Callithrix jacchus: one gene and its partner. The main gene of each other region encodes a partner of the protein of the gene in region 2 in a complex. Links are inferred from orthologs where the notes say so. Each region holds a gene or a part of one and is shown on either strand. Other genes may lie near its edges.

Region 1 (5,213 bases), on a different chromosome or scaffold from region 2:
AGACAGAGCCCCTTCTCCCTGCCCAGCACCCAGCCCTGCAGCTGCTTCCTATAGTCCAGCAGGCAACACCCCAAAGCACACAGGGTGGAGCGCCTAGTACCCCCATTTCCAAGCTAAAGCCATCTTAGCAAATCAAAGTCATCACCCCTTGCCACACCACTCCATCTGCACACACATAGGCATCTAAACTCACACCAACCCTCAGCCACATGGATCCATGCGTGAACCCACATACTTCCTCACACATCTATCCACCCACATGCACACATACAGTTGCAGGTACTTTCTCAAACACCATGTGACACACCCCCACACATATGTGCACACACATATACACTCATACCCACACAGAGCCATGCATAAACCTCCACACTTCCCCAACACATCCAAACACCCACTGGCATACACTCATGTGCTCCTCCCCACACAAGCCTATACATGGAAACATGTATACACACTCAGGTACATGCACACATACACACACACACACACACACTCCCCCCCTCTGCAGTGTATGACTGGCCCTGGACCCACATGAGGCACATACCCTCTTCAGATGTGGCTGCTCGTGGAAGGGACAGTTGTCCAAGTTGGGCTGGTCCTTGGTACATGTGGTTCGGCCCATCTCCACGTCCAAGAAGTAGTTCACCCCGGCTACGATCTACACATGTGAAAGAGCAGGATGCAGGGGCAGCACGCTGTCAGTTTCTTATATGCACAGACACTTCACTGTGACCGAGTCACTGGGCTTGCCTGGGGCTTCAAGCCTACCTTCATGAGCTGCTCACACTCACTTGCAAGGCACACAAGGCACCTCCTCCTGCCAGCTGGCAGGGATGCCATGCTCCAGGCCTCCCTGGTAACTTGTTTTCTCTGTGCCAATGCCAAGGATTAACTGAATTCTGCTACCTATAACCCAGGGGGCAGGGACACTGGGTCTATTCTAGGAAGGCTCTCATGTGATGACGAAGTTTCAGCAAGCCTCCAGTTCCTGGCATCCAGCCCACACAGCATCTCACTCCTGCCACTTAACTCAGAGGTACTTTCCCTAATTTCTCAGCGGGAAACAAGTGCTTATATATGTTGGTGTTTTAGTCCAATAAACCTTGCTTGCGCTCCAGGTGTGATTCTGGAGGCAGTATTTCTAGAGTGAGTCACACACCTGCATGTCTCACAGCTGCAACTTCAGAAAACGGATCCTTTCCCTGCATGGTGTCATCCCCAGATATGACTTGTCAGAACTGTGGGACCCTGGGATCGGGGTGCTAGGTCTTGCCCTGTGGAACCACGTGCAAGTCCTGTGATCCCTCCCGTGTCAGGCTGCTCCTCTGTAACACAGGCTCCAGGGCCCAACCAGCTACAATGCCCCGAGCTTCACTCCAAGTGAGAGACGTACAAGCCAGCGGGGACCCTACACCAGGGAGTGGCCCTCCTGTGCAGGGAGAGGGCCCCAGTTGACGGTCGCTGGTCTGACTTCTCTGAATTTCCGAGAGAAGGTGGAGGAGCTCTCAAGACTCGTAGGCCATAGAGCCCTGTGGTCGTTGTGTCACTGTTTGCTGCTCTGCTATGGGACACAGGTCAAGCTGGGCCGGGCAACCCTGCCGAAGCTCCCTCCCGACCTGACCCCCTCCTCCGCTCTGCTGGGTGACTGCTGTCCTCATCTGGCTGAGGTCTAACTCTATGTCAGCTGGTAGAGGCAGGACCATCAGGCAGGCTCCACCCCAGCAGGAATTCAGCAGCCCTGGGCTGTCAGGGGTGGTCAGCCAGCCTGAGGATGAAGGCCGCTAGCCCTAAGGGGCTGTGCCCAAGGGTGTGACTTGGGGAGGGAAGCAGGGCTCTCCAGGTCAAGGAGCCAGGCTCCCAGGTGGCCCCTGTGGGGAGGACTCAGGGAGAAGGATGAGCCTCATGGCCTGGATCTCATCCTGAGCAGCACCGAGCGTCAGCACAGCCCCCATCCACATCTGCTGGACCCTGTGGAATGACAGAGTCATGGCACAGACACAACAAAGGCTCCTGCAGGTTAAAGGAGGCCGAGGGGACAGGACAGGGCTGGGCTCATGCGCTCAGGGAGGAGGAGCGTCCTCGGGCATGACGGCCGTCAGCGGACAGTCGGGGAAAGCTGCTGAATGAGCGTGAGAATGAGCTTATAAATGTGTCAGTGCTGATTTTCAAAATGGAATCGTGGTTATGTGAGACATCGCCCTTGTAATTTTAGGAAAGACACATTGAAGCGCTTACTCTCAACAGAGTCAGGCCAAAAATGCATATACAGTATACACATATCCATATTTACACGCCGAGTGAGCTAGGGACCAAACAGCAAAACGCCAACATTCCTGTTACCGTCGGAGGCATCTGGGGGAGGGATCTACAGGGACGCCCTGTACTATTTTTGCAGCTGCTCTGTAAGTCTGAGATTAAGTGAGAATAAAAGGTTAAAAGAAAAAGTGTTTAAAAATTATTTGGTGAAAGGGTCAGGGGGCAGCCAGACGAGGGGCTGTTTTCCCCTCTCCTGGGTATTCAGTAGCGCCCTCGGCCCCGCGTCCCAGGGGTCCGTCCTGTGCTGCCCCCGCTCCAGCTGGTGCCGGGAAGCGGATCTCAGGCGCCGGGCGCGGACCGGGCGAGCCCGTGCGGTTCCAGGCCAGGCCAGGGTCGGGGCATCCCCGGACACGCCCGCCAAGGGCCCCGGGGTGACGGCCAAGGCCCGGAACGGGTCCGGGTGAGAAGCTCAGGGACGGGGGCGGCGCGGGGCGGCGCGGGGCGGGCGGGGGCTCGGGCCCGGGGGCGGCACGCACCTGCTTGCGGGCGCGCACCACCTGCAGCGCGCGGCTGTGGTACCTGTCGTTGCTGGCCTTGTTGTACTCGCTGACGGCGAAGTCCAGCGCGCGCCGGACGCCCTCCTCCTCCACGCTGGCGTCCATGGGGCCGCCCAACAGGCGCGGCTGCCTCCCGGGGCTCGTGCCAGCCGCGGGGCTCACCGCCAGGGCCAAGGCCAGGACGGCCAGCAGGAGCAGCGGGTCGCGCAGGGGCCCGGCCATGGTCGGCTTGGACGCGGGACGCGGGGCGCAGGCAAGAGACTAGAGCTGCAGAGACACAACCTACCGCGACTCGGAGCCTTTGAGTCTCGCCCGGCCAGCGGCTGCGCTTTTATACCTTCCGGCCTTCCCCGCCCCTCCGCCCCGCCCACTTCTCCTTTTCCGGAACGCCCGGTCCCTCCCCGCCTCCCCCGCCCCTACGGCGTCTCCCTGCCCCTCCCCCCGTCTCCCCCGCCTCCCCCGCCTCCCCGCCCCGCACCCCGCCTCCCCCGCCCCTCCCGCCCCTCCCCACGCATACCGCGCCCCTCCCCCCGTCTCCCCGGCCTGCTCCACAATTCCCCCGCCTCTTCCCCGTCCCCTCCCCCCCCCCCCCCCCCCGCCTACTCTTCCCCTCTCCCCGCCTCCCCTTCCCCTCCAGCGCCTCCCGTGTCCCTCCTCCCTCCTGCCCCTCCCCCCAGCCTCCCCTGCCCCTCCCCCCAGCCTCCCCTGCCCCTCCCTCGTCCCCTGCCTCTTCTCCCCCCCCACGCCCCCATCCCCGTCCCCTGCCCCTCCCCCTCCCCATCCTTCCCAGTCCTTCCCCTTCCTAACTAGTCCTTCCCGGTCCTTCCTCTCCCCCTCCATCCCTCCCCGCTCCCATTCCCACCCACGCCTCCCCTCTCCCTCCCCTCCTCCACGCCTCTACTAGGCTCCCCATTCTTCCCTACCATTCCCTCCCCTCCGGTCTCCCTCCTTGTCTGCTCTCTCCCTCCCTGCCTCCCCTGCCCCGCCTATCTTTTCCATTCCTCCCTCAAAATCCCAGACCCTTCCTGCCTCGGGACTCCAGGCCTCCCCTCTCCAGGCTCTTTCTCCTCTATCCCTTTATCCTTTCAATTCCGACACCGCTTCCCCAGCCCCTCTTCTCCCTCATCCCCACTCCTGTCCATGCTCCCAATTCTCCCCTAAGCTCTGCCCCTAATCTTCGCCCCTCCCCATCCCAACCCTCCTCTGTCTTCCCTTTCTACTCTCTCCTGTCCTCTCCCTGTCCCTGTCTGTCCTGTCCTCTTTCCCCTCTTCTAACCCCACTCCTGGCCCCTCTCCCTCAACCCCTTCCTCACCCATGCCCACCTGCACCCCCTCAGCTCCATCTCTCCCCAAAGGCCTGTCACTCCTCCCACTCTTGGGTGACCCTGGTTTCCAGAGATTGTCAGGGCCTCTGAGCCCTAAAAGCATGCAACCCCCTAGTTTCATTTCCTCAGAAAAGGGAAAAATAGAGGTGTTGGCCTCCCGGAATCCTCAGAGGTCCTGGGCATCCTCGAGCATTTGGTCAAGGCAGAGGTGTGATTCCAGAGGCAGCGGGAGCCTCAGGCGGTGCCCTGTGCTAGGGAACTTTTCAAACAGAGGAATTAATTTGAGTAAAAAAACTCTGGGTCCTCCTTTCACAATTCCTCATTATTCCGTAAACACACTTGTCGCCAGCTTCCTTCTGCACCAGGTGGTCTGGGAGTTAGAGACAGAGCCTGGGTGACCCAGCTGGGGACATGACATTGCAGGGCTGCTGGCAGACAGGTGACACCACCCAGGAACAATTTAAAACTTTCTAGGAGACATGTTTCAAAAAGTAAGAAACAGGTGAAGGTAATGTTTATAATATTTCTTACTTAACCTAATATATCCAAAATATTACTTCAACACAAAGGAAGAGTCGTTAATAACATAGGTTATTTTCTTTCGGGTGTGGGTACTAAGTCTCTGAAATTCCCTGTATATTTTTTACACTTAGAGTGGGTGTGAATTGCACTGGCCCCATGTCGAGTGCCCTGTGGCCACATGGGGCTTGTGGCTGTGGCACTGCACAGCCCAGCATTAGGGTGTGTGGGAAGATGGCGAATAGTGATCAATAATTACTATTGGGAAATGAGTTCCTCTGTTGGAAGTGAGAGTATGCCTTAGGGACAGACGGTGCCACTGGGCCTGGTCAGGGAGTCTCTGTGAGGCTGGAAAGGTGCGAAGCTCTGCTGAGACAGGAAACAGAGCCCCAGGCAGCGGGATCAGCCAGTGCAAAGGCCCTGAGGTGGGGCTGGGCATGCATGCTCTAGGAAGAGGAAGCTCCTGGAGTCAGTGTGAGCAGGGAAGGGAGCAACCTGGAGTCTCACTGTCACTGTGGGTGGGGCTGAGTAGAAGGTGCAGGGAGACCCTCAT
Region 2 (5,223 bases):
AGCACTTTGGGAAGCCAAGGTGGGCAGATTGCTTGAGCCCAGGAGTTTGACACCAGCCTGGGCAGCATGGAAAAACCCTGTCTCTACAAAAAAATATATTTAAAAAATTAATGAGGTGTGGTAGCATGTGCCTGTAGTCCCAGCTACTAGAAAGGCTGAGGTGGGAAAATCATTTGAACTTGAGAGGTTGAGGCTGCAGTGAGCCATGATCATGCCACTGGACTCCAGCCTGGGTTAAAGAGAGAGACTCTGTTTCAAAAAAAAAAAAAAAGTTTTGTTTTCTTTTGTTCCTTGTGACCTAGCAATTCTGATGTTACGACTTATTTTGCGTAAATATTTGTACATGTGCACAAAAAAGTATGCACAAAGGTGCATACTGCAACACTGTCTGTAATGAAAACCAGACCACAGTGGCTCACACCTGTAATCCCTGCACTTTGGAAGACCGAGGTAGGTGGATCACCTGACGTCAGGAGTTCAAGACCAGCCTGGCCAACACGGTGAAACCCCAACTCTATAAAAATAGAAAAATTAGCCAGGTGTAGTGGTATGTGCCTGTAATCTCAGCTACTCGGGAGGCTGAGAAAGGAGAATTACTTGAACCCGGGAGGTGGAGGTTGCAGTGAGCCAAGTTTGCGCCACTGCACACCACCCTGGACGACAGTGAGACTCTGTCTCAAAGAAAGAAGAAAACCCAGAAACAACCCAAAAGTGCAAAAACGAATGAGGTTAAGTAACAGAACAAGCCATATTCTCTTAGCTTGGGGAGATGTACCTTAACTGCTTGCCCTCTCTTTCTGGCGCCCTTTCACCTCAAGAACGAAGCAGCAGAAGAAGGAAGAGTTCATGCCAGATTACATATGCACACCCAGAAGAAAGGAGAGTACCTGATTTTTGACAGGAGTAACATATCCTTTCTTTCGATAGTCAACAGAGTCTGGGGCTCTACCTTCCCAGTCCGGGATATAAAGGGTGTCATTGCTGCGGGAATAAGAGGTGGGTACTTTGAGTCCAGTCATCTTCTGAACCACCTCTTCACTGGTCTGAGACAAAGAGAGGCCAGGCATCAGCAGGGAAGTAAAGCAGACGGTGTAGGTGAGACAGGAGCTGAAGCTGTACTCACCATGTCCCCCAAGTGGTTCATAGCCAGTTCATATGTATGGACACCAAGAGAAGCCTCAAGGTTATGGATGGAAATATACTTCAGGTTTTTTTCCCAAATTAAACGCCGAGAGATTTCATCCACCTAAACAAAGCATAGTCAGTACTTGTATAGAGTGTGTACAGTTACGTATGTAATACTGTGAAGGTTTTTAGGAGAATAAAGGAAACTCAATCACAAACAGTTTACAGTTTAGTTGGGGAACTAACCATGGAATTATTAAGAGATAATATGCAAACAAGTCAAATTAATACAAATAAAGCTCTGTAGAGGCTCATAGAAAAATTGCCTATAGATGAATAGCATTAATCTTAAGACGTCTTCCCAAAAGAGAAATGTAAGGCAGTTATAAAGCAAAGGAAGGATACAATTTGACAGAGGATGATTTGAAGCATAGGAATGAATACCTCATGTTAACATGAGACAGGGAAGAGGGACTGATTAGCTTGGAATAAAACATTTGGATTGAAGAAGGGAGTCTGGAAGCTAAGATGAGAGAGCTCTTGTCTCAGCCCTCATGCCACGCCCCCTCCAGGACCCCAGGCACCTTGCTGTTATATTGCTTCCTGTGGGTCTTCTTCCATAGCTCCCAGTGGGTATCCAGTATCTCCTCAGGATACAGAGCAAAGCTCACCATGGGTAGCAGCAGAACCTTGAGCCCCCACATTCTGCGGAAGAGTATAGTTAGGAAAACTCTTCCATTTGGCAGGGAAACAGGAAAACTAGGCTTTATGAGGAAAAGGAAGGTAGACACAGAATGGAGGGTAACTTTCATATGATAAAACAATGATAGGAGGGGCCTGTGTTAAGATAGGGTGCTGGTACATCTGGTTCCAAGGACTTTGAGCTAGGGAGATTTAGCCATTCTTTCTTTCTCTCTCTCTCTCTCTGGAGATTTAGCCAACACACACACTCTCTGCCTCTGTCTCTCTCTCTGTCTCTCTCTCTCTCTCTCTCTCTCACACACACACACACACACACACACACAAACGTACACAACCAGAAATGGGATAGAAACTGGAAAATCAGAATGGGCTCAGTGCCTGTTTCCTCCAGAGTCCCTAGCAGGCTTGGAAACAAAGGGCAAAGTGGTACTCAGGTTCAGAATACAGAAAGGAGAGATTTCCAACTAAGTTTTCTTCCTGACCATTTCTTCAAGGCATTGTTCTCTTTCTTGCCTAAATTCCAGTACTTTCCCAGATCTTGTCAAAAGGGAAAATATGACAATGTTTTCTGTTTTCTGAGACATTTTCTGTCTCCTCACTCTCCTTATGCATTTCTTCCTCCTTTCCCTCTCCCCTCCCTCCTTAGGCAGGAAATTGCCCTAATCTTAACCAGATGCTGTGGGCAAGGTTTCCCCCTCCTCCAACAACAAAAAACCACTGTGGCTGCCGCACAGAAGAAGCCTCAGCTCCAGTTTGTTAGAATAATTTTCGGACTGAAAAGCAATGTTGTATGATGATTAAATTCACAGCTTTTCATAAGTTTAGCTAGCTTCACTCATTTCTTGCATTGGTTTCCTTAATTACAAATCCTCCATCTTAAGACAATTTGCAGCCTGCAGCATGTCATATGGCTTACACAATTGCTTATAGTCCATTTACGTGTAATTTTTGCAAACTGCCAAAATGTCCAGTAGGATATTTAATAGCTAGTGTTGAGGGCTTTGAGATGTCTCAGAGAACAGGAAGCACTGAGCTACCACCTCCCTGTACCACCCTCCTCCTCCTCACTATTGAGTTAACCCTTTTGATCCTTGTTGGCTAAAGTCGAAAATGCTTCAGAAAGGCCACTCTTGAAGGATGGGCAAATGATTCCCTATATCTTTTGCTTTCAATAAAAACCATGTATGTATATATACAAATCATGCAAAGAATCCTACAGATTTCAAGGCAGATTTTATTTAGTCAGGAAATAACCTAAGAAGGGCATCTCTGTTTTCATCTGCAGAGGCTAAAAGTTTACTTTGATCCTCAAGTCACTACATGCCTAATACTCTTAAAGAATTGACAGGAATGAAAAGCTAAAAGATCTAAGAAGTTGCAAATGTTACCTGCTGATGGAAATCTGTTGTCTGGCTTCGTTTCGGCAGCAAAGTGTGGGCAGATGATCAGGAGTGCTAGATTTATTCCATCAGGATTGCGGAAGTCAGCTCCAGTGGTCGGCTGGAAAATTTGGGTAAGAGGAAGAGGCAGGGATAGAAATGCTGAGAGAAGGGAGGGTAGGGAGGAGGGAAGAAGGCAGTGGATGTATAGTGTTTCTGTGTCTGTGCAGCATATGTGCCAGAATAGAGAGTTACTAGGTATTAAGTCTCACGAGACTGTCTTTGGTGGCAAATAACAAGACATCAGTATCTATTGACTCAAGCAGGAGCTTACCTTCTCTACTGGTGAGTAAAAGGAAGGACACAGCCCTTGTCTCTCCCATCCTTCTTTTTCAGTATCTTTATTACAATATTGGGGGATTACAACTTTTCCTACCCCTTTCCTGTTGATTTACCTCTCCAACATTGAAACTTATTTTCAAATTTGTGTCTGACCCTCACCTCTGGGATGAGATAATGAACAGAAAAGGCTAGAAAAGAATAATGGAATCCATAGGCTCCAGAATTCTTTGTATTTATATAAGCTTGTTGGTTGAAAGCTGTCATTACTTCCGGGCAGAAGAATAAATAGCTTTCCTGGCCTAATGTGGTTTTGCTGAAGGAGATATGCCCAGAAAGTCCAGATGAAATTGTCTCTAAGAGTAACCAAAACAGCAGTCCTGGATATTTATGATAGCACTTGAATCAATGCCGTTAAGTTCTGATGGACTCACATGTGATTCTGTTGCTAAAACTCTCAGATGGTGGGACACCCAATAAACATGTCTCAATTATTAAAATCCCCAATCTAAGACAAGTCACATGAGCTTCTCCAAATGCTTCTCCACATCCAGGCATGTGACAGATCATAAGAATCTAGCTCAGTCCTCAAACCACACCCCAAACTTCATTTTCTTCCATAAACAGATGTGGGGAAGGACGAAAAAAGGCTCCTTGGAATAGAAAGGATAATAAATGGGATCTGTAACAGACTCAGTTTCTAACTGGATTCCATGTATAAACTCTCAAGAATACAGGCATATGCCTCTGGATTTTAAGAGTTGCTAATGGGCTAGGCGCTGTGGCTCAGGCTTGTAATCCCAGCACCTCGGGAGGCCAAAGCAGGCGGACAACCTGAGATCAGGAGTTCAAGACCAGCCTGGCCCACATATAGTGAAACCCTGTCTCTACTAAAAAAGATACAAAAATTAGCTGGGCATGGTGGCACACACCTGTAGTCTCAGCTACTTGGGAAGGTGAGGCAGGAGAATTGCTTGAACCCAGGGGGCATACGTTGCAGTGACTCAAGATTGCACCACTGCACTCCAGCCTGGGCAACAGAGTGAGACTCCATCTCTCACTGAAAAAAAAAAAAAAAAGTTGCTAATGAACCAACATAAGTCTCCTAGAGGGAAACCAGGTCCAGACTTGAACAGTTTAAATTTCACTCCTTTTAATCCAGAAGAGGACATACTGGGGGAAGACATCCAGATGTGCCTTAGTGGTTTCAAATTCCAACTCTTCCCCTCTCCCCCAAGAACCTGGGCAACGCCCACCCCAAAACCCCCACCTCAGCAGCGTCCCTGCTGACGTTACTCAGAATGTGTCAGGATCAGGAGGACAAAGGAGGGGGAGAAGTACAGTGTGATCAGAACCCTATGATTTCTAATTCCTGGAATTAAAGACACAGTGTGCCCTATGTCTGTATGTCTGGAGCTTAAGCAATAGATTCCTCTAGTTGTGGGTGCTTGTTGTTTATGAACTGGAAAGGAATGATAAAGCCGCAATTAAGATCACACAACACAAGAAATTTTACAAAACGAAAAAATATTTTGTTTGAAAATCTTTGCTACATGTCATTATTTTTGCCACTGTAAGGCTTAGCACAGATGCCAGCAATACAGAAATGGCCAACAAGAAAACAAAACAATCAAAAATAAAACCCTGAAGGAAAAGCAGAAACAAAACCCCCAGAGCA

What was found. The genes of interacting proteins can lie anywhere in the genome.
Region 1: the proteins of CTSK (region 2) and CST3 are in contact, whole or in part, in a crystal structure (PDB 8V57), measured with the Mus musculus proteins. The link is inferred for Callithrix jacchus from reciprocal best matches to the Homo sapiens genes CTSK and CST3. Residues at the interface, in NP_031828.2 of Mus musculus: Asn132, Gln133, Gly134, Gln135, Cys136, Gly137, Cys139, Trp140, Glu173, Asn174, Tyr175, Cys177, Gly178, Gly179, Gly180, Tyr181, Met182, Ser248, Ala251, Ser252, Gln257, Phe258, Val274, Asn275, His276, Ala277, Ser297, Trp298, Ser301, Trp302; in NP_034106.2 of Mus musculus: Pro27, Arg28, Met29, Leu30, Gly31, Ala32, Pro33, Gln75, Leu76, Val77, Ala78, Val80, Asn81, Tyr122, Pro125, Trp126, Lys127, Thr133.

The regions. Positions count from the first base shown.
Region 1 is NC_133506.1:30,639,895-30,645,107, forward strand, and holds the start of CST3 (cystatin-C), read right to left. Parts: upstream 3,120-5,213; 5' UTR 3,039-3,119; coding exon 2,796-3,038; intron 662-2,795; coding exon 548-661; intron 1-547. UniProt on the Homo sapiens protein: As an inhibitor of cysteine proteinases, this protein is thought to serve an important physiological role as a local regulator of this enzyme activity.
Region 2 is NC_133519.1:10,708,189-10,713,411, forward strand, and holds the start of CTSK (cathepsin K), read right to left. Parts: upstream 3,263-5,223; 5' UTR 3,216-3,262; intron 1,831-3,215; 5' UTR 1,830-1,830; coding exon 1,710-1,829; intron 1,247-1,709; coding exon 1,124-1,246; intron 1,044-1,123; coding exon 888-1,043; intron 1-887. UniProt on the Homo sapiens protein: Thiol protease involved in osteoclastic bone resorption and may participate partially in the disorder of bone remodeling. Displays potent endoprotease activity against fibrinogen at acid pH. May play an important role in extracellular matrix degradation.